2 linked regions of the Caenorhabditis elegans genome follow. The protein of the gene in region 2 interacts with the protein of the main gene of each other region in a pairwise test. Each region holds a gene or a part of one and is shown on either strand. Other genes may lie near its edges.

Region 1 (12,315 bases), on a different chromosome or scaffold from region 2:
CAGACCCCTTTTCCATTTCAACTTTTGAAGTACTTCTGCAAAGCTACAATGCAATTTGCTTCTAATTAGTTTTCGATTTCCCGCGTTCTCAAACCAATCAAGTTCGAATTGTTTACTTGGTGTTCCCATAGAAAGTTCAAAAGTTCATTTTATTTTCCCGTATAATATGTACACTTCTCTCGGTCAAAGGAAAAGAGAACGCATAAGTGCCATCATTCCGAAGAAGGTCACCGTGATTGTTCTTTCGACAGGACAATAACTTTTCTGGATAAAACGGGTCTAAATAGGTTGGAATCTTGCAATAATCTTGGCGGTAGAAAATAAAAACACGGATTTTTCTGATTTTCCAACCACTTTTTTATCTTGCCACAGTTGCTATAATTTTCAGAATCTCGAAAATGGTTTCGGCAGTTTTACTCGAATTAAAAAAGTCACCAAACTATAGAGAAAAATCCACAAAAATTATATATGGGGCACGACAGAAAATGCACGCTATGCAATTTGCAATATTTTCAATGATTATTTTATCGAATTATTATTTTCACGGTTTTTCTTCCATAAAACATAAAACATACCAAAAAGAGGTTTCCTTCTACTACCTTATTATAGATGACTACAGTTACTGCACAGGTGTCTTTTTCTCAGATTACAATCTCAATTGGTGTCATCGACATAGCCTTTTACTTTTTCTGGTGGTTGACACTGTCTTACCAGATTTTTGAGCTACAAGGCAATTTGGAGAAATTTTTTTTCTATTTTTTTGTTTCAGTTCACGTTTGACTTTTTAGAAATGCGGTTTTACTTTTTTTGAAAATCTAGCAGTTATAGGATACCTCTCCGATTTATCCCAAAAAGTTGCGTTAATCATGGAAAGTATCACCCACAATTTCTAAATTTATAGGCAGGTTTCAAGCCAGCCTAGATTTCAATAATTATTGTAACTTACTGAGAGATAAAGCATAGTTTTTAAATGCTTTAGTGGTTACTTTTAAATTTTTATCTATTCGTCTTTTTTTGATTGAAATATCAATTTGTAGCGGTGGCAGGCTGTTAAGTTTAAAATTTAGTAGCAGCTGTTTTCAGTTGTGTTAGTTTTCACTAAAGTTGAAAATTGCTCGTAGTTTGATTTTTTTTGTGACTTTAGTTTTATTTTCACGTGTTTTCATATAATGAGTCATCAAACAACACAAGACATTTTCTATGAAATTTATGAGACCTGATATTTCAAGCCGTTTCTGAGAGTTATTTACATATTCAAATTATTGAATCCTGATTGCTTCTGTATATTTTGTTCAGAATTTTTTTTCAGATTGTTCTAAAAACTATCGGGGAACTATCGCAACTTTTACCACAAAATTATTTTGGAACTTTTTTACTATTAGTGACAGTGAGATCTACCTTGGGATTAGGTTAAGATAATTAGGATAATTAGAATAAATGAAGATAACGAATAACATATGTGGAAGGTAGATCAAACATGATCTTTGTAAAAAATTGCGATACTTGTTTCACTGTAGTAGTTATAGCGTCTTTTCTCCGTTTGACCTTTGGATTTTGCACCCAATTGACATGTATTTTTTTCAACTGATGTGACGTCACATTTCTCATGGGCACGATTTTCCCGCACTTTGGGACCTGAGAGAGACGGACTATAGACGATGCACTCTATCAGTTTAAATTTCAAGAAAATTGAATTCTTGATAGAACCCAACTACATTTCCGTGTTGTACCCTTATGCCTACTGCCATCTTCTTTTTTTCTGCCAGCAACAAGTAAAAACAGAAGAATCGAGTCAAGATATGCGCAACGGGGATACACAGACAACGAAATTGTGTCAGAAATAGTGAAGGCATAGAAGAGGCCAACCGGGTACGCGTGGCTCCTCTTCAGCACTTTCTCTCTCTCTCTCTCGCCCTTTTCCATCTAACAGCTTTTTTGCTTTTCTATGTTTGTGTGTCGTTTGATTATAAATTAGGTGTGCTTTTGAGGAAAACATTGGATTGAAAAGAACCTTAGAGATTGATCAGGCGGGAGGAGGAATGAAAATGAAACATTAGAGTGGAAATAGTATATTTTTTCAAAACACAATCATATCAGATTTTTGTTATAAATTAATGAATAGTTTTTAAATCCCCATTTCTTAAAGAAAATTTTATGAATGCTCCACATATCTTATATGCCTCTGTAAACATTTTAAAATTCCGTGTTCACAAGTTTAGAGTACAAGAAAAGTGTCTTCAATAAAAATTGAACTTTTTGTTTCTGCTGTGATATCTTTCACGATAAAATCTTTTGAAAAACCATCGCTTTTATAGTACTAGAGGTGTTAATAATTGACGGTTTCAAGGCTAAGATCACGCGATTCTTTAGTTGAATTTGTTTTTTGATTGTTTGGACTGTGAGATTGTAATTTTTTTAATCTTGTAAGTTTTTGTGCAATGAAAAATGCCTTAACGACTTTCATATAAATTTCTCTTATTCCTCTTGTTTAAAATGTCTACCACAAATTTTTAACAGTTATAACTAAATTGGGCAAAATTTGTTATTTCAACTTTACAAAAAAAATTTAACTTTTTTTGAATACTCTCTGTAGACGCGGTTTTTTTTTCAGAATTATGGTGGCCACCTTTTCAATAAAAAAAAATTATCTGAAAAATGCCATGGTCTCTCTGACCTTCGGCCCACATTGTATCTACGGATTTCATTCAAATATTTGCGGTTTTTTTTGACCGCTTGATCAAACTAATGAACTTTCATCAATGCAAACAAAATTTTTTCGCCAAAAGCAAATGACTAGCCAACTTTTTTTTTCTGTTTATGTTCAAATAGTTCAGTGGTTTCTTGTTAATTAATTATGACACAGTTTTGGTCACAAAATTTGAGCGTTTTTTTCGCTGAAACAATTGCACAAATCTAATACAAAACATTCTGATATCACACGCATCAATTTGGCGAGATTTCAAAAAATCAAACTGAGATGAGACCAGTGAAAACAAAAAATATATATGAGTCATCTAGAAAGTGATCTATACATTTTGTAGATCTTTTTTTAAAAATTGTGATGTTTGAGTACTTACAATGTAGGTCTACCACTTATTTTTTCTAGTTAGCTCACTATTTTATGCTTAGCATAGGTCAAACTACCCTTATAAAAAAAAACAATTATTTAGGTAAAAACGCTTGAAGTTCTTTTTTTCCTTTGTTTTGCACGAGAGGTTTTTTGTAAGTTTCTTATCAATCTCTTTTTTCAGTAAAAAAAGATCAAAACATCAAACCGAGGTCATGTGCACTCTCTTGTAGCTCTCTACTTGTTCCCTCATTATCTTATTCCCCCCGTCTTCTCACTTGTTGGTCCAACTACGCTCAACTTATCGATTCTTTGCAGCGAGCACTGCCACCTCAACACACTTTTAGCAATGAAATAGTGTGCTGGGCGAAGAGACGCAGACACACGTACGTAGTTTAAGAGTGAGCGAGATAGAGTGTGCGTAACGAGAAAAAGAGATAGAAGACGAAGAAACAAGTAGTGGTTTGGTTTCGATCTTTTTTTTTTAATTTGGGATATTTTTATTTTTATTTTCGAATTGTCAATTATTATTATTAATAGACTGTCAAAAATTACTTTTAATACCCCGTATTTGAACACGTTCTTTTTTTTATTTCTCTTAAATTGATTCCAAACAAGTTCCTATTAACACAATTCTTTTCAATTTTCTTTTCGAAATCATAATATTTTTTAAAAGTTAAATCTGTGGTTTTTTGGTTTTCCTTTCTGAATATGTTTTTACTGAAAACACCAAAAAATCTTGACAGTAGCTCAAAATATCAAGCTTTACAATTAAAGTTTTTCTCAACTTTTTTTTTCCCCTATAAACACAATCTCCCTTTATTCCCAAAAATACCACGAAACATGATATTTCAAAAAAAAAAGACAAACAGGTTTATACCACAGTTTGTACCTTTTATTGTCCATGCTGGTATTGTATTTCCTACTTCTTTGCCGCCCGGTTTTTCCTTGTTGTTTTAATTTTATTCCAAAACTCAATTTTACAGGTAATCAAATTGTAAAGGAAAAATATTAATAGTCAGAGTACACATAAATGGGTGATCATCATAATTTAACGGGTGAGTTTTTGTTTTATTGAAATTACTTTATTTTCGGAATGTTATTTAAAAAAAAGTTACAGTTTGAATAAAAAAACAGGATCTTCTGTTTCAGTTTTGAAAAAAAAACCAATTCCATAGTCCATATCCCAACTTACAGGCCTTCCCGGTACCTCCATCCCGCCACAGTTCAACTATTCTCAGCCCGGTACCAGCACCGGAGGGCCGCTTTATGGTGGAAAACCTTCTCATGGATTGGAAGATATTCCTGATGTAGAGGAATATGAGAGGAACCTGCTCGGGGCTGGAGCAGGTTTTAATCTGCTCAATGTAGGAAATATGGCTAATGGTGAGTTTAAATAGTAGCTATAGGAGTGAAGTGTTTGGAGTGTCGTGTTGGATATAAAATATCAATTAAAATAGATTCGAATTATTCAGAAAATCGCTTATTTTGGTAGTAGAACAAATGTTGATAAGTTAACAGACATCTTCTTTTTCCAATTAGTCTTGCACCCGAAGTGACTAGTTGGAAAATAGCCTTGCAGTTTCTATTAATTTTGTACATACTAATCTAGTACATTTCTAGAGAAAATTTTAGTATTTTAAGGTGGCAACGAGTAGTGCGGAACTCAAAATTCTCTTACATTCTCTTATATCTACTTACATTGAAAATTAATTTTGCACTCAAAAAATACCAAATAAAAAATAGGGTACTTGTTCCCGCTATTTTTGAAATTAATCAATTTTTCATTAATTTATCTATTTAAATTAAACTTGATATCTATTTTCTTCGTTGGGCTCAGGAATGGTAAATACGAGTTTTATAAGTTTTTATTTTATAAGTTAAAAAATTAATTTCTAAAATAGCGGAAGCATAATACACAAGTACCAAAAATAGTTATACATGCAATTTTGTCCATAGAATACTCTGAAACAACCTTGGTATTAGCTGCAAAACTGCAACATTATCAATTTAAAAAGGTATTTCTAATTGCAAATAAAATCGTAGCATTTCTAACAGTTGCCTAATTCTCGCTTTCTATTTTCAAATTTCAATTTTTTTTAAACTTTCAAGTAATGCAAACTCTGTAAAACACTGAAATCTAGTGAAAACCAAATCAATTTCCCTACGTGATTAGTAGTCGTGGTGTATGGTGGTTTGTGTTGGTTTGATATGCTTATTTTCCTTTTTGTTTTAAAAACCTTCCCCGTTTTGTTGCTTTTTAAATTTTACATTTCAAACTGAAATTCAGAATTTAAACCAATAATCACATTGGACACGAAACCACCTCGTGATGCCAACAAGTCATTGGCATTCAATGGCGGGTTGAAGCTAATCACTCCGAAAACTGAAGGTAAATAACGTCGAACATAGTAGTATAGCTTGAAAATAAAAAAAAACGTTGAATATGATGCATAAATGGTGCAATAGAAGGTTCAAAAGAATTTGTTGCCAACAAAAAATCTAAAATTTCAACACGAACCTCATGATGTTTACCGTCTGGCAGTCACTAACACACGTATTGATAAGCGAATTGTTGCCAAATTTCGTTGCTTATCAAACCTTATTTCTCTCTGACCATGAAGCTAATAGCAACTTCTCTTCTAGTTCCCGACGAGCACACACCGATGATGTCACCAGTGAATACAACTACAAAGATTCTACAACGGAGTGGTATTAAAATGGAAATCCCGCCATATTTGGATCCAGACAGTCAGGATGATGACCCGGAAGATGGTGTCAACTACCCGGATCCAGATTTATGTAAGTGGCAAAAAAAGTGTGAGCAAAAGAACTTAATATATTTTCAGTTGACACAAAAAACACAAATATGACCGAGTACGATTTGGATGTGTTGAAGCTTGGAAAACCAGCAGTAGATGAAGCACGGAAAAAGATCGAAGTTCCCGACGCTAGTGCGCCGCCAAACAAAATTGTAGAATATTTGATGTATTATAGAACGGTAAATACTTAAGTTTGTAGTACTGATTACAATATTGCATTTTCAGTTAAAAGAAAGTGAACTCATACAACTGAATGCGTATCGGACAAAACGAAATCGATTATCGTTGAACTTGGTCAAAAACAATATTGATCGAGAGTTCGACCAAAAAGCTTGCGAGTCCCTGGTGAAAAAATTGAAGGATAAGAAGAATGATCTCCAGAACCTGATTGATGTGGTTCTTTCAAAAGGTACAAAATATACCGGTTGCATTACAATTCCAAGGACACTTGATGGCCGGTTACAGGTGAGATCAAAAAAAATTTCTAGGACACATTTTGAGCCTATAGACATTAAATTATGATCTTTCAACGAACCTACGCTAGATAAATGATCCGACTTTTAAAAGTTTTGGAATTTATTTTGAGACGTTTCATTATGAAACTTGTATTAGACCAGCTTATGATATCAAAGTACCCACAAACTCCATACAAATTACAGGTCCACGGAAGAAAAGGTTTCCCTCACGTAGTCTATGGCAAACTGTGGAGGTTTAATGAAATGACAAAAAACGAAACGCGTCATGTGGACCACTGCAAGCACGCATTTGAAATGAAAAGTGACATGGTAGGTGAAGTAAGTGTGAATTGTTTCATTTTTCCTTTGATGTGATGTGGCACATGTTAGCTTCTTCCCTTATTCGGTTAACTCTGTGACCTTTGTTTGATTAAGTTGATTGCCTAATGTTGAGAAGATGTGACTTTTAAAAGTTTTAATATGAATATTAGGCCTTACAGGTATGCGTGAATCCCTATCACTACGAAATTGTCATTGGAACTATGATTGTTGGGCAGAGGGATCATGACAATCGAGATATGCCGCCGCCACATCAACGCTACCACACTCCAGGTCGGCAGGATCCAGTTGACGATATGAGTAGATTTATACCACCAGCTTCCATTCGTCCGCCTCCGATGAACATGCACACAAGGCCTCAGCCTATGCCTCAACAATTGCCTTCAGTTGGCGCAACGTTTGCCCATCCTCTCCCACATCAGGCGCCACATAACCCAGGGGTTTCACATCCGTACTCCATTGCTCCACAGACCCATTACCCGTTGAACATGAACCCAATTCCGCAAATGCCGCAAATGCCACAAATGCCACCACCTCTCCATCAGGGATATGGAATGAATGGGCCGAGTTGCTCTTCAGAAAACAACAATCCATTCCACCAAAATCACCATTATAATGATATTAGCCATCCAAATCACTATTCCTACGACTGTGGTCCGAACTTGTACGGGTTTCCAACTCCTTATCCGGATTTTCACCATCCTTTCAATCAGCAACCACACCAGCCGCCACAACTATCACAAAACCATACGTCCCAACAAGGCAGTCATCAACCAGGGCACCAAGGTCAGGTACCGAATGATCCACCAATTTCAAGACCAGGTACGTATGATTTAAAAAAAAAACAGTTGTTGTAAGGAGAAAAAGTTATTCTGACAGTAGGCATGAGGGTTGAACTAGAGGGACGCCGCAATTGCAAGAATTGTCGATTGCCGAAAATTTCCGACTTTGAACGGATGTCGGCAGGATGTGCCGGTCCGCTGTCAGGGTGGGCGGCAATTGCCGTTTGGCAATTTTTTTTGTCCACAAATTCAGCAAATCGCCGGAAATTTTCGATTCCGGCAATTAGCCGGTTTGCCGATTTGACGGAAATTTTAATTGAAGCAATTTGCCGATTTGCCGATTTGGCTGAAAAAATCGTTTGCCGCTCACCCCTGGTTTGGTGTTCCAGCCGAGAGCTAATAATTTTAGTCACTCAGCCACACAATACTGCCACCTATCAAGGCATGGATTTACAAAGGTTTAATATCTCCAGGTGTCAAACCAGAAACGGCAAAATATTATTTATGGGTACCTCATTATATAAAGGGGTAGAATATAAGTAGGCGGACAGGTGCATAGCCAATTCCCGCAGTTTAATCCTTTTTGGGATGTCCATTAACAGAGCCTTATTTGAATTTTTCTATTGGATTTTCGCCCTTTTCCGATGAAAACGAAGCGTTTTCAAACTTCACTAAAAGTGCAGCTTTTACAATTTTGACTAAATTGCTCTAGAATTAAGTATGAAAAAATTTTATGAATAGTATTGAGAGTTCATATTCTTTCGCAAAATAATCAAGAAATCTCTGCAGGAAATTTAATGTTAAGTTTAATCCTTATACATAAATTCTAATATAAGTACTTGATAATAACGAGAAAGGATGAAGCCCCTCAAATATTTGCCTTTTAAATTTGCACGTAGGTTTGAAAAGGCATCAATTTTGCAAATTTTTTTTTCGATAAACATTTTGCAGTTTTTTTATTTTAGATCTCATCAAAATATCTTCTTCTGGTAGACACATGTAATTTATTTGAAATTGATTGGAAAATGCCAACTTACAACATTTTGAAAAGGTGTCCTGCCAATTTCATATCAGTTATCAGATTTATTTTCTAAAAAAATAGCCAAGTTGAGACCACGAGGCGTATGATTATAGTTGTATAGTCGGTGATTTATTGCATAAAGAAGTTGGTTTAAAAGCAGTGATTTTGATTCTCAAAACTCATTTTTTTAGAGATTTTCTACAGCCGCTTTGCGAACAATTTTACTTTTCATCATACATGATACATTTTTTTGTCGCCTTTTCAGTTCATTCCTAAAATTTGTAAAACTTGAAGTAAACTCAATTACAGTGTTACAACCATCAACAGTCACCTTGGACGTGTTCCGTCGGTACTGTAGACAGACATTTGGAAATCGATTTTTTGAAGGAGAAAGTGAACAATCCGGCGCAATAATTCGGTCTAGTAACAAATTCATTGAAGTAAGTATTTCTAATATGTAGCTACTATGTACGTGTCACTCAAGATTGACAGCTTATCGCATATAAGTTGTGTCGATAAGGTGCCAAACAAAATATTGAATTTAATGTCACTTTTTGCTTTCTGAATCATCAAACAAACGATTTTTGTTTTTCATTCAAGAATATTGTGTTTTTTCTAGGAATTTGATTCGCCGATTTGTGGTGTGACAGTTGTTCGACCGCGGATGACAGACGGTGAGGTTTTGGAGAACATCATGCCGGAAGATGCACCATATCATGACATTTGCAAGTTCATTTTGAGGTTCGTTCTAGTTTTCATGGAATTAAAAGCCAAGTATTTTTTAGGCTCACATCAGAAAGTGTAACTTTCTCAGGAGAGGGGCCAGAAGTTAGTGATTGTAAGTTTCTTTTTTTTCTCTCTAAAGTTCACTTTAAAAAATCGTGTTAGTGATTGAAAACAAAATGAGTAATTATGTATTATACCCCGCCAACATAAAATTAAATTAAATTTTCATTCATAACTTTATTTAAATTAAACGTGATATGGATTATCTTCTTCAGATTTAGAAATGGTTATCATCAAGAAATCTTCCACACGTTTTCATGCTTTATTTCTTAAAAACTTTCATTTAAAACGACGGGGATATAATACATAAATACCCAAAAATGTAAAAGATCAAGTAAATTTAAAATGTTCACAACATAAAAAAAAACTGCTTGCTTTTTTCAGTGAACGAAAAATGGGGAACAATTGTGTACTATGAGAAAAATTTGCAAATTGGCGAGAAAAAATGTTCGAGAGGAAATTTCCACGTGGATGGCGGATTCATTTGCTCTGAGAATCGTTACAGTCTCGGACTTGAGCCAAATCCAATTAGAGAACCAGTGGCGTTTAAAGTTCGGTAAGTAAATCTGAAACTTATTGATATATTATAGAACATAGGTACAATTTTTTTTACAATCCAATTTTTTGGGCAATGACAGTATCAGGGTAACAATCCAATCCAAATTCGGAAATGTTGTTCGATAGTTTCCAGCTTATGAATTTTCTAACTAAAGAAATAACACAAATTTTTAAAGCTTTTGAACCATTGAAATGTTTCAGTAAAGCAATAGTGGATGGAATTCGCTTTTCCTACAAAAAAGACGGGAGTGTTTGGCTTCAAAACCGCATGAAGTACCCGGTATTTGTCACTTCTGGGTATCTCGACGAGCAATCAGGAGGCCTAAAGAAGGATAAAGTGCACAAAGTTTACGGATGTGCGTCTATCAAAACGTTTGGCTTCAACGTTTCCAAACAAATCATCAGAGACGCGCTTCTTTCCAAGCAAATGGCAACAATGTACTTGCAAGGAAAATTGACTCCGATGAATTATATCTACGAGAAGAAGACTCAGGAAGAGCTGCGAAGGGTAATTTTGAGTGTAAGATTTTGTTTGAAGTTATAAAAATATATTCAGGAAGCAACACGCACCACTGATTCATTGGCCAAGTACTGTTGTGTCCGTGTCTCGTTCTGCAAAGGATTTGGAGAAGCATACCCAGAACGCCCGTCAATTCATGATTGTCCAGTTTGGATTGAGTTGAAAATCAACATGTTAGTTTTTTTTTTTCAAGGCCCTTGTGGTCCCATCAAAATTTTTGAAAGTTGGCTAACTACCTTTTGGGCCCTAGGACCGCCAGAATAATTTCTTAAATTTACGGGTCTTATTATCAAGCTTCGGTACAAGCATAATATCGCGCAGTTTACAATTCATGTATAGATTGAAAAACAATATTTTTTACTCTTGAAACTAAATTTTGTTTCGAATTTCAACATCGACAGCTTATAGTTGCCGTTTGACTCATTTAAAAACTATCATCTGAAAAATATTTGCTAATTGTTCTCTATCGTTTTGAGTTGATTGTTTATGGATATGCCTCTCGCCTCATTTCTGCACTACATCGAGAAGTAAAAGACTTGGTTTTTACAAAAAATAGTGTGAGAGACGATTTTTCAACGCGCAGCAGGCGGAAGCCCGCCGCAAGACGGGCATGGCAGGCGTTCTTGCGCCCTAAAGTAAAATAATCGGGGTACTAAAACTCCTATTACCTGAAATACGGTATGTTAGTAATCTAAAGTAGTTTTATAAAAAATCCCATGTTCATTAAAAAAATCCCAATGTGTAATTTCAGTGCCTACGATTTCATGGATTCAATCTGCCAGTACATAACCAACTGCTTCGAGCCGCTAGGAATGGAAGATTTTGCAAAATTGGGAATCAACGTCAGTGATGACTAAATGATAACTTTTTTCACTCACCCTACTAGATACTGATTTAGTCTTATTCCAAATCATCCAACGATATCAAACTTTTTCCTTTGAACTTTGCATACTATGTTATCACAAGTTCCAAGCAGTTTCAATACAAACATAGGATATGTTAACAACTTTTGATAAGAATCAAGTTACCAACTGTTCATTGTGAGCTTTGAGCTGTATAGAAGGACAATGTATCCCATACCTCAATCTTTAATAGTCATCAGTCACTGGTCCCGCACCAATTTTTTCGATTCGCATATGTCATATATTGCACCGTGGCCCTTTTTATTGTAACTTTTAATATATTTTCTTCCCAACTTGTGAATATGATTGATGAACCACCATTTTGAGTAATAAATGTATTTTTTGTGGACATCATGTTTAAATAAAGAAAACATAGGCAGTTTGTTAGGAGTTAAGTACACTTTCTGGTAAACTTAATGCCCCTTAAACTTAAATTACAGACAGAGAACTTATAATTTTCAATAGAGAAAAAAACAGACTTTCAGCGATCGGAACTCACACCAGCTACTCAACTACGCCTTTTTTGGTAAATCTTCTACAATAAGAGCCGAAGGTTCAAAAACGTAGTAAGCGTTTATTGAGTGAATAATACAGATATTACACAAAACTTATGACAACTTGCTTACAATTTGTGGAAAACAGTAAACTTCATCGGAGCAGACGCGCGAGACAACTTTTTGACAATGGTTTTTGTGATGTTGCTACCAGATAGCGCCGGTTCCGAATAGAAACGTTTATCTAAATTTTAATTAATTTGATCTTAAATTTAAGTTTACGAGCTTACCGTTGTTAAGAACTCCCAAAGCTTGATTCATCGCTTTCATTTGATGACTGAAGCCACAATCAAACGAGAAAGAGCTCATCTTTTTTGTAGAAGAATTAAGTGGCGGAAAATGATCAATTGGCACTTGGAAAATCATTTTTCTTGAAAATGTTGAAGAATAAAAGAATATAAAATTCTGCAGATTAATATTCTTCTATTCTTAGCCCATCTTTAATACTGGAATTTGGAACGAGTTTTGAAAAAATTTGACGGAACAGTGATGTAACTTGCCATAAGGAC
Region 2 (11,181 bases):
AAATACGGCCGTAGTAAAAGAGTAAACCGTAGTAAAAGAGCAACGTAGTAAAAGATGAGGTAGTAAAAGAGCATTTGCCTTGAAAACCCAAAAAAGTCGAATTCATAAAATTTGCCAATTTTAAATATCTTTCGCATTGGCACATTTTTCGGCAACTATTTCATATTTTCCTACTTTAGTTACCCCCGCAAAGTTAATTCTAAAGCTTCTGCTATTTATGAGTTGCTGAACTTTGAAATTTCAGCAATATCCGGCAATTTTTGGACACTCTATCATGTGTCTTAACTCCAGTTACCGAGAAAATTGTTGAGTTTTTAATTTTCGGCATTTTTCAGCAATTTTTGGAAACTTTATTCAGAAAATTTGGGCAATTTTGGACAAACTTATCTTTTAACTTTTAACTCCAGTTACCAAAAAATGTCAAAGTTGCCGAAATTCTGAATTTCGGCAAATTTCAGCATTTTTTGGGGATTTTATCATATGCTTTAACTCCAGTTACCTGCAAAATTTCTGATTTTTTGGAAACTTCATTTAGAAAATTTCGGAAATTTTGGACAAACTTATCTTATAACTCTAGTTACCAAAAAAAAAATGTAAGTTATCTGGAAATGACTAAATTGATAATTTTGGCAATTTCCGAAAATTTCTAGAACCCTCATTATCTAAGAATTGTCAGATTTTCAAATTTAGGCATTTTTTCTGCAAATTACCAAATTGCTGAATTTTTCCAATTTTCGAAAACTCTATATTTTTGAGTAGTTAGAAAAAATTAATATCTCAACCGAAAATTTATCCACCTTTTGCTAAAAATTTTTCCTTATCTAGAACATTTTGCCTTATCTAGAACACCATGTACATGGGAAATCCGTAATTTTCAAGTCTTAAAAAAGTTTAAGTGAAAGCTGGTAACTTTTCGGTCAAAAACTGAAGAATAAAAAAGTTGCAAAATCTGATCCATATTCTCACCAACTAAAAAATTCCTCTCAGAAACCTGTCCACTTACGATGTAAGAAAGAGGCGGAGCCTAATTTCGCTTTCTCTGAGACGTTTTTATCAAGGGCATTTTATCTGTTATCAATGAGGGGAATATTTTTGAAGAAAAATTTTGAAACCAGTAATTTTTAAAAAAGTGAAGTTATTGTGTAGGTACAAAAGTGGCTGTTAGCCTGCCTGCCTACTGGTCCTACCTCCATGTTTGCCTTCCCGTACCTGTCTACGCCTACATTTCTGCCTAGATTTGCTTACGCTTTTTAAAATGAATTGATGTACGCCGTGAACTTATGTAGAACTATGTAAAAATGAAATTTTAAATTAAAAATATTTAACATTATTTAGTTTTAACTCGCCAATTTATTCTGAAAACCAAAAAGATGACTAAATCAGAATCGGAAGAAGAGGACAAATTTAAGCCTGTGAGTTTTATTGGAAAGTTGGCACTTTAGCTTCAAAATGTCTTACAAGTAATCCTTCCTTTGTGCCAGCTTATCGTCTTGCTTGAAATTGCCTGCCTGCCTGCGTGTTTAGCCTCCCCGTCTCCCTACATATGCCTACCTACTTACTTACCAATGCATCCACCTAGGCCTTCTGGCTACTTTGCCGTTTTGCCTACCTGCACGCCTAGCTAGTAGCCTCATATTTTTGTGTTCTCAATAAAGTGGTCTTTCAGGGAACCATAATCAGAAGCCGTGAAGCCAAATACGTGATACTTAGTCAACTCTTTGACGGTACTATTGTTGGAGAGTACTTGGTAAATGATATCGCAAAAAAGCAATCGTTCACAATGAAAATCGAACAAACAGAAATAAGACGCAATGAAAAGCTGAGAATGGAGATTTCTGTTTTGAAATCGGTGGATGGCGGTGAACACTTCCAGAAAATTGTGGATCGCAGGAGAAAAGACAGAGATCATTTCTGTTTTTTGGTTTTGCAACAAGTTGGAAAGTCATTGGCTGATTTGAAAAAAGAACGAGCTGATAAAGTATTCTCATCTGCTACTGGGCTCGGAGCAGCACGCCAGTGTTAGCAGGCAATTGAAGAGTTGCATAAGAAGGGATTCGTTCATCGTGACCTGAGAACTGGTCACTATGCATGTGGACTTGGTGACAAACGGCATAACATTTATCTTCTCAACTTTATATTCGCGCGGAAGTATGTCAACTCCAACAATGAGCAGAAGTCCGCAAGAAGAGGAAATGTGGGGTTCAAGGTGAGCGTAGTATCTAACTCTATTAGTGAAATTGTTTCTAGGGAATTTCTCGTTTCGCATCGATTGCAAGCCACCTAAAAACTGAACTGAGCCCCAAGGATGACTGTGAAAGTTGGCTCTACACGCTGCTCGGCCTCATCCTTCCAAAAGATGTTCCATGGCGTGATCTCCAGGACTGGAATGAGATTCTGAAAATGAAGCAAGCATGCCGGACAACAAAGCGTGATAAACTCTTTGCTGGAATCAAGCAGAGTAGTGAACTCAACAAGATCCTCGACTACATCGACTCGAGAGTCTATCAAGATCGTGTGGACTACCAGTTCATCTACAAGCTGCTCGCAGATGCTTGTACTACCGCCGGTGTTGACATCAATGCACCGTATGATTGGGAGAGGGAGTCGGAGTAAGAAGAATCTAGTAAGAATACTACTAAGGGTAATAAATACTTTGTCCGAAGTTTAACTTGTGGCGAAAAGTTTTTGAAAAATTTTGACCAAAACTTGATTTTTTCCCCAATAATTTAGTAAAATGACACAAAAATGAGTTATTTTAATGTTTAAGCAGACACACCAGGGGTGGGCGGTAAACGATTTTTTCCGGCAAATCGACAAACGGGCAAATTTCCGGAATTGAAAAATTCCGGCAAATCGGCAAACCGGCAAGTTTCCGGAATTGAGAACCTCCGGCAAATTAGGAAACTGGCAAACTGCCGGAATTGAAAATTTTCGGCAAGTCGGCAAACCGGAAAATTCCGGCAAACTGCCGGAATTGAAAATTTCCGACAAGTCGGCAAACCGGCAAATTGCCGAAATTGAAAACTTAACCTGAGCACTGCAAACGTTTGAAAAAAAAGTTGAAAACTTCCGGCAAATTGTGAAACCGGCAAATTGACGGAATTGAAAATTTCCGGCAAATCGACAAACCGGCAAATTGCCGGAACTAAAAACTTCCGGCAAATCGGCAAAATGTGCCAAAAAATAGAAATAATACGTTCATTACTGAATGTCAAATTCAATTTGCACAAATAGATAGAAAAAACGACGAAAATAAAAAACGCAGTGATACCGTAACTGTTGCTTTGGGATGGAGACTGTCCTGAATCGAAGGGGGGAGTTGGGGGGATTTTGGCTACTCAAGAATGACAAAATACATATTGAACCGGGCAGCATATATATATATATATATTAACAGAAAAAAAGAAGTGATTATTAAAAAGAGGAATTTCGAACCGAAAAGATTATTAGAAATAGGTACAAGTTTTCGAGTAGCAGCATTTGGTAGAGATACATTGATTTTTTAAAGTGCGTATTTTGTTGTGGAGAGGACGGTGTTAACAACAGATAGGAATATGAAAAAAATGGGGAAAAGAGGTACCTAATAGTATGGCAAGTGGCGAGAGAGATGTGGGACAGAAAGAGAGAAAGAGACAGACAGAGAGGTAAAATGAATTTAAAAACAATACGACTAGCGTCATTTTCAATATATGTACATAACCGGGGTGGGGTGCAACAATTCTCACAAGTGTTTTGTACATGAAGGAATGATAGGTTTGGCTTGAAGGAGAAAGGAATACATAATGGAATAAGAAAGATCATCTAATCAATTCTTGACGGTGGTGGTTTTGATAAACTGGGCCAATTGCTCATAGGCACCGGCGGTGAGCTTCGGGTAGAGGGAGAGAAGAGCTGGAGATGACATGGCCGTGGAGAGTTGTTGTTTCTGGAATTAGTTATATTTAATTTCAAAATAGAAATTAATAAGCGCAAATCACAAACTAGTAGCAGTGTATTTTTTCTACACTTTTACGACTTTAAAGGTCTCGCTACGCGCCATCCATCGATTTTTGGAGCGCGTGGCGAGACCATTTTGAATAAATGCGCCCTTCTTTAAAGTCGTGAAAGTTGGAAAAAATACACTGTCAGAGTGTCCCATATTGGTTTGATCTACGTAGATCTACAAAAAATGCGGGAGTTGAGACGCAGAGTTCCCAACTGAATTCGCATGGTTAAGAACGTGCTGACGTCACATTTTTTTTGGCGAAAAATTCCCGCATTTTTTGTAGATCAAACCGTAATGGGACAGCATGTCACCACGTGATGTAGCTCTCATTTTCTAAGATCTTTAAAACGAGCCGAGATATCAGCTTTTCTGTATTTTGGAGTAAAATCAAAGTGTTGGTGTTTGCAGCACAGGTCCAGCGAGTGTGAAGAGACACAGACGTCCCGGGACCCAGGGCGCGGGAGCAAGAAGAGCCGATTTGTGTCGATTTACGGAGGAATGTCTGTGTCTCTTCAACTCTAGATCTACGAGTGCTTAAACGGGAGCTCTAAAAAATTCAACTCCCCATGTATACTTACCAAAAAATCAGAATTCGGCGAGATCGGCAACGCTGCAGGAATCGGCGTAATCACTGGCGCCGGCGTAGAAACCACTGGCGGTGTCACAATCGGCAGAGGAAGCTTGATCCCAGACGCGATCAGCTGCTGGGCTAACGCCACAAAGTTGATATTTCCCAACGAGATCGGCTGTACCGGAGCCGGCTTTGGTTTTGGTGGCGGTGGCGGTGGCGGCAGTGGCGGCAGTGGCGGACGGTTACACAGTACACGTATCGCGTCTGCCGAGACATTCTTGAGCAACGCGTGCTCTCTTAACACGAACTCCATTGGAGTCAAAAGTTTGGCGTCGCGATCGAGATTGGCGAATTGCTCGGCGAGCTGCTGGATTTCTTGTCGCGTGGCTTTGGAGGCATTGTCGAAGTGGCGCATGTTGTCGAACTCTCCTTTGGAAACGTCGAAGTTCGCTGACGCTCGACTCTTAAAGTTCGGATCCTTCATCTTTGCCTTCCATTCTTGCTGCTGCGTGACGACTTTATGTGTGAAATCGGACTCCTTCACCCACAAATTGTATTCTTCAGGCGATTTCAGGAATAAAGCCTCGAGAGCTGCATCGTCCATTTTGTTAAGCTGCTCGATGATGACTGCCTCAAATTTGTTTCTAGGCTTTAGGCCTTTGGATCCAGATGGTCCGAGGAAGTCGGCAATATGGAGATTCTCCATCTTCTTCTTGTTCCTCAACTTGCACTTCTCAATATCTGCATCTCTATCCACAATCTCCTCGCCTTCCTCTTCTTCATCAGCTTCCCAGCCGTTGTCCGCGGCCACCGGCACAGGTGTCTCCATAGCGGGTCTCTTCGGCGGCGCCTGATGCGGCGCAGCTTCATCGTATTCACGCTTGCCAGCTCTGTGCGAGTTCAGGACAAATTTATTCCAGGCTTCCAGGTTCTCATTGGATTTATCGAATACTTCAATAAGCCGAATCCACTGGAAGCTGTTACAGCCGGTGTGCACAAAACCGCTCGGCTTGATCGGATAGTGATGGTGCATGATGAAGTCGGTCGGTGTGAACTTTCCCTCACAATGCTGGCATTCGATGCATCGCATGTTCCGCCGATTCTTGTACCAATAGCCGTGTGTTCCACTCTGCATCACATCCTCCTCCAAGTCATCGCTCTCCAACCATTCGCTGCAGTAGTCGATGAAGTTGACGTGCACAACGTGAACTCGATCGGAGATGTCCCTGGAAATGGCTTTGGTTGTTTTGTTGGTCTAGCTGGTTTTTTTTGTCTTTTTTTTAGTTGAGTTTTTGGCCTTTTGACCCCGAAAACTATTCAGATATTCAAAGAGACTCGAAAGATGATGTCTCTTCTCTCTTTTGAAAAATGAGCTTTGGCCGAGAAATTGTTTTCTTGTCGGGCTCTCTATTTAGAGTGAGAGATGCGTAGGAAGCGCGGCGTCCGGAGCTTGCTTCTAATTAGAGAGCTGCCCCGGCCTCACAGGAGTGTTTATGCTAGTGGAACTTAGGCTCGCCACACTTACCAGTTGTCGTGCTCGGCCAACGTGAGCATGCTCTCCAGGCGGAGCTCGCCCATGATCCGTTCAATGTCCGACCGGCTCATCAGGCTCAGCGATGTGATGTTGAGGTTTTCGCACTCCTTGCTCTTCTCCATGACTGCTCGGAACTGGGATGGCGACGCCATTCGGATGTAGACGTTTTTGTAGCCTGGAAAATTACCTTTTCAGCAAAGTCCTGTTAAAAGGGTCGAGGGTGCCTGGTGTTCCCGAGAGAGATCATGCTAAAAGAAAAAAAAACTTACGAAGCAAATTCTGAAACGACATCTGATCCTTCTTGTCCTTCTTTGTGAGCATATCATCGAGAATCTCAATCGGCAGGTGTGGCTCCCCATCGATGGACAACGCTGGGACACGGACTCTGCAAGAATTTTGAATTTTTTTTTCCGAGGTCTAGACGGAACTAGTCAAACTAGTCGCCTGGATAACAAAATAAAATAGAGTGAACACGCTGCCCTATCGAAAACATGGAAGTGCACCATGTTTTTGTGGAAATATTTTTGCTGTTTTTTAGACGATGACGCCATTGACTTCTTGGTCTTGTGATTGTTTTTTGAAAATAAAACTACGCTACTAGGCTTGTTGTCCCAGACTTCTCGCTGCACCCCCAAAGCTTTACGCTGACCTTTGCTCAGGTTGAAGTGGCGGCGGGGCGAAATATGTGTACGTACAGGATGTGCTCTTTTGAGCTCCGACAAAATGTTGCAGGCTCCTTCTTCTTTTTCTTCTTTTTCTGCTGCAGCTACTCCTCACCCTCATGTGACATTGTGAGGGGCGCGCGCGCCTCAAATGTGAATGCATAATGATTTGGGACCCCTTGGCTAGACACTAGTAAGAAGGAAGAAGTGCGCGGAGAAAAAAGCAATGGGATAGAATGAGGAAGGGGAGAGATGTGATTTTTGGAGTCCCTCTCTTTTTTTTGTGTTGCTTAATGTTTTTTGAGGATATATGTCGAGCAGGTGAAATTAAATGTGACTCATTAGGGGGTTTTTGAGACTCTCGACATTTGGTTCTAGGTTTCGCGATTTTGAAAAAGCGAGGAGATTGAAACTCCGCAGAAATCTAAGCCTAAGCCTAAGCTTGAGACAAAGCCAGAGCCTAAGCCTAAGCTTAATCCTAAGCCTAAGCTTAATCCTAAAAGTCTATTTGTCAGCAAAAAAGAAAAAAAGTTGAAATTCCGTAGGAATCTTAGCATAGGACTAAACCTAAATTAAAGGATAAGGTTAAGCCTGAAGTGAAGCCTAAGCTTAAGCCGAAGCCTAGGCCCAAACTTAAGCCTAAGTCTAAGCCTAAGCCCATTTTTCAGCAGTAAAAGTCTGCTCACCCCAACAACCAAATCCACAAGAATCTCCCCGGATCGCTATACTTCTTCTGATGGATCACAATCCCATCGGCTCGAGAATCCTTCCGCTTCGCCGACGTCGACGGTTGCCCATCATCATCGTCGTCTGATCTCGTCTCCTCATGCAACGCCTTCAAGTTCGCAATCAATGGATCAATGTCCATGAGGTCTGGGGTTCGGTGCTCCGGCTCCACCTGCTGCGAGGAGCCGATCGGCGAGTCGGACATATAGGATCTGTAATAAGGAAATGAATTAGGTAAGGGTGGGTGGGAGGAAGCAGCGAAAATGCAAAATATGTACAGACGAAATATATATTTATCAGAATAACAATGATGTGGCATATTGACACACAGAACACAAATCACATGTGATGTGTGAGGATAGATGAGCTGGCCTGGCGCAAAAATCTGTGAAAGGTGTTAAATGAGGAATTAGACGGCGAGACAGAAACTCTGCTCCGCCCCAGAAGGCGTGTCTTTTTGCTGCTTCTCGTGTGCCCGCCGCTATCCGCCCATTTCGTGTTGAACTCTTGACCATCGACTAGCTGCGAGAGCACAAACAGACGCTATTGACACAATATAGTAAAATTTACTATGCCAGACTTGAGAGCCCGAACATTTTGAGTTTCGAAATGAAAAATAGGAAAAAAAAAAAGATTATCAGAGATCTTGGAGGATTAGGATTAACTACAATAACAAAGAAGAACACGAAAAGTGTGACGGAATTGATGAAGGTGGATATAGTCTTATAGGTCAAGATTTACATATGATCTTACACTTTTGAAAGTTACGAAAAAACATTGTGATTTGGAGGCTAGGACGTCTAGAGATATTTCCGGTAGTAGCCCAGAAATTAGAAAATTGAAATATGAACTTCTAAGAAAATCAGTAAAAAAATGTAGCACCACAAATGTATGTAGTCTAGACCCCCGAAGAAATCGGACGGACATTGCAACATTGGGTTCCTATCGCAAAGCCAAGTGGGCGAGAAAGAAGAGGGACAGATGAAGAGTGAGACAGTGCTGGCGGTAGTAGGTGGGAGGGGGGAGGAGGAACTACGTACGATCTTTTGATTCGTATGGTCTTGTTGGAAATGTGTTTGTATATGCGAAAAGATAGATAGAAGATGGGGTGGTGGTGGAGCAAAGAGCAATAAGTTGTTGTTGTTGCGAAAAAGCTTATAGCTGTGTCGGTGGCGTAGATACAAAAATGTTTTAAATTGGCAAAATGTAGAAAAAAATTTGCTGAACATTTTTTTAGTTGACAACTTTTTTATAGCATTTATAGCAATTGAGATATGGTGGCTCAAAGATGAGACAGCATAGAATTCAAAAAAAGTGCAAAAAGATTGGAGCAGTCTATCTCTACAGGAATAGGTGGAACACAAATTTAATCAACTGGCAAAAGGTAGAAAAAAATTTGCTGAATATTTTGTTAGTTAACAACTTTTTGATAGCTCACAAAGCAACCGAGATATGATGGCTCAAAATTGAAACATAGTAGTTTCAGGTGTGCAAAGATTGGAGCAGCCTATCTCTGCAGGAATTGATGATACAAAAAGTGATCAACTAAAAAATTGTACAAACTTTTTTGTTGAATATTTTGTTAGTAAACAACTTTTTGATAACTTTCATACCCACAGAGATACATTAGCTCAAAGTTGTGACACGAGAAATAAACTTTGGAAATTCAGCGCCACATGACAAACGTCAGCGAAAATTTGAAAGAACACAAAAAACACAATGGCATATAATTATCTATAGATATTACTGCCCAAAGCCGTTCAACTCAAAAAAAATTGTGCACAATTCATGAGAAATCAAGCCAAACAACTGGAAGCTTATGCGTTATACGTGAGGAACGCGTGAGAATTTTCGAAGCCAAAATGCAGATGTATTTTTCCTACATAAACATGAATTTTGAACACCTAATGGTTTTTGAAATTATTATTTTGCTTGAAAATAACAAGAAAAAAAAACTGCAAAAACAAGATGTGACTGAGGGATTAGCGTTATAGACGTTATCAGTGTAGTCTGTGGAAATACAGGAAAAAAAATAATCAGAGAAAGATGTGACTTGAAACAGTTGTAGCTAGGTAGGATTAAGAGATATCAAAAAAGTTACAACTAGCAAAATGTAGAACTAATTAAGGGCTACAATTTGTGAGTTGACAACTTTTTGATAACACATATTCTAGAGGAGATATTGGAGATCAAAGCTAGCTACTTTGAATCAAGAAATACCAAAAAGGTTGTCAACTGGCATAACGTAAAACAGATTAAGAGCAACAATTTGCAAGTTGGTAACTTTTTGATAGCGATTATGTTGAAGGAGATACAAGAGCTCAAAGTTATAGATCACAGAATCACTTAGCAAAAAGTTATCAACTAACAAAATGTAGAACTATAGTTCTACATTTTGTTAGTTGCCCACAATTCGTTAGTGGAAAACTTTTTGATAGCGACTCATTCTAGAGGCGATACGATAGGTAAACGAGGGCTTAAAGATTAAAGACCAGTGTGACACATTTTTTATCAGGAAACAAATATGACACTTAAACATAGTAATTATCCAAAAATATGGAGCTTGGATTCTAAGAGCAAAGTACACACACACACGGTAACCATGGAAATGTTCAAAAACCAAAAGTGCAAAAATGATGGGGGTCCATAAATAAAGAACAAGAAACATACATAAACAACATTCCGCACCGATATTTTCAAATACATCAGCGAGGAAAAGAGAAAAAGAGTGAAAAGTCTGGCGCCAGAGACCCCTCCCGTCGCGTCGTCTTCCACACAAACAGACACTACTAACGACTGCGACCAAACGGCGAAGCGCAAAAAAAAAAAAAAGACGGGGAGAGGACATGTGACCGAACTTTTCTTCCTCGCCGCACTTCTTCAGAGTCTCTCTCTCGTTTTCCATGTTGCTGTGCTAGCAAAGAATGTTTCTGCAGAAGAGGGCGCCGGGCGCCCGCGCGCGTGGATCGTTGAAAAATGTGGAAAGACGTCTAGACGCAGTTGATGGGCTGTCTCGCCTCTTCTATCTCTCTCTCTCACTCTCTCTATCTCTGTGCATCTCTGCTCGGGCTCCTCTTCATGATGAGGTGGGCTAGACGGCATCGTTGTGCACTCTCTCGCTTTGTCTGCTCGTCTATTTCTCGTTACGTGGTTTTTTGTGCTAGATGTCGTTTTTTTTTTCTTGCCGAGCTCACGAGTTCAAGCGCTCGCTGGCTCCGCCTCTGGCGACGAAAGGGTCAAAGTAACAAGTGAGAGTATATGGATAGGCGGAGTTCCGCCGGAAATCGGATTTTGAAGACGTGAGAGTCTGAACATTTTGGGGTGTGTCGATGCACCATGTTGTTAAGAGCTACAAGGTAGTCGATCGAGTGTGGACGAAAGTTTGCGAAAACTGAACAAAGTTTGACAAAAGTTGGTTGAAAGTTGACAAAAGTGGCAAAGCTTTTGATGATAAGTTAGCGAAAGTCAGACAAATTTGTCGAAAGTTTGCGAAAGTTGTCGGAAGTTTTGGAACAAGTTAGTCGAAAGCTGGCGGAAGTTAGAGAAAGCTAGTCAAAATTTGACAAAATTTGGAACAAGTTAGTCAAAAGCTGGCGGAAGTTAGAGAAAGCTAGTCAAAATCTGGCAAGACTTGAAAAAAGTTAGTCGAAAGCTGGCGGAAGTTAGAGAAAGCTAGTCAAAATCTGACAAAATGTGGAGCAAA

Evidence for each region.
Region 1: the proteins of daf-5 (region 2) and daf-3 interact in binary tests that used the Caenorhabditis elegans proteins (3 or more experiments, as listed by UniProt).

The regions. Positions count from the first base shown.
Region 1 is NC_003284.9:817,212-829,526, reverse strand, and holds daf-3 (Smad protein daf-3), read left to right. Parts: upstream 1-4,100; coding exon 4,101-4,125; intron 4,126-4,264; coding exon 4,265-4,453; intron 4,454-5,357; coding exon 5,358-5,459; intron 5,460-5,680; exon of another isoform or gene 5,681-5,685; coding exon of another isoform or gene 5,686-5,713; coding exon 5,714-5,869; intron 5,870-5,916; coding exon 5,917-6,068; intron 6,069-6,114; coding exon 6,115-6,354; intron 6,355-6,548; coding exon 6,549-6,683; intron 6,684-6,835; coding exon of another isoform or gene 6,836-6,844; coding exon 6,845-7,505; intron 7,506-8,795; coding exon 8,796-8,926; intron 8,927-9,105; coding exon 9,106-9,227; intron 9,228-9,271; coding exon 9,272-9,324; intron 9,325-9,656; coding exon 9,657-9,828; intron 9,829-10,031; coding exon 10,032-10,338; intron 10,339-10,386; coding exon 10,387-10,523; intron 10,524-11,101; coding exon 11,102-11,207; downstream 11,208-12,315. UniProt on the Caenorhabditis elegans protein: Transcriptional regulator and common SMAD (co-SMAD), required to regulate entry into a developmentally arrested larval state known as dauer, in response to harsh environmental conditions.
Region 2 is NC_003280.10:14,030,032-14,041,212, forward strand, and holds daf-5 (Ski protein homolog), read right to left. Parts: upstream 7,691-11,181; 5' UTR 7,684-7,690; coding exon 7,439-7,683; intron 6,476-7,438; coding exon 6,360-6,475; intron 6,266-6,359; coding exon 6,082-6,265; intron 5,783-6,081; coding exon 4,564-5,782; intron 3,926-4,563; coding exon 3,806-3,925; 3' UTR 3,189-3,805; downstream 1-3,188. UniProt on the Caenorhabditis elegans protein: Probable component of transcriptional regulatory complex with SMAD protein daf-3. Required to regulate entry into a developmentally arrested larval state known as dauer, in response to harsh environmental conditions.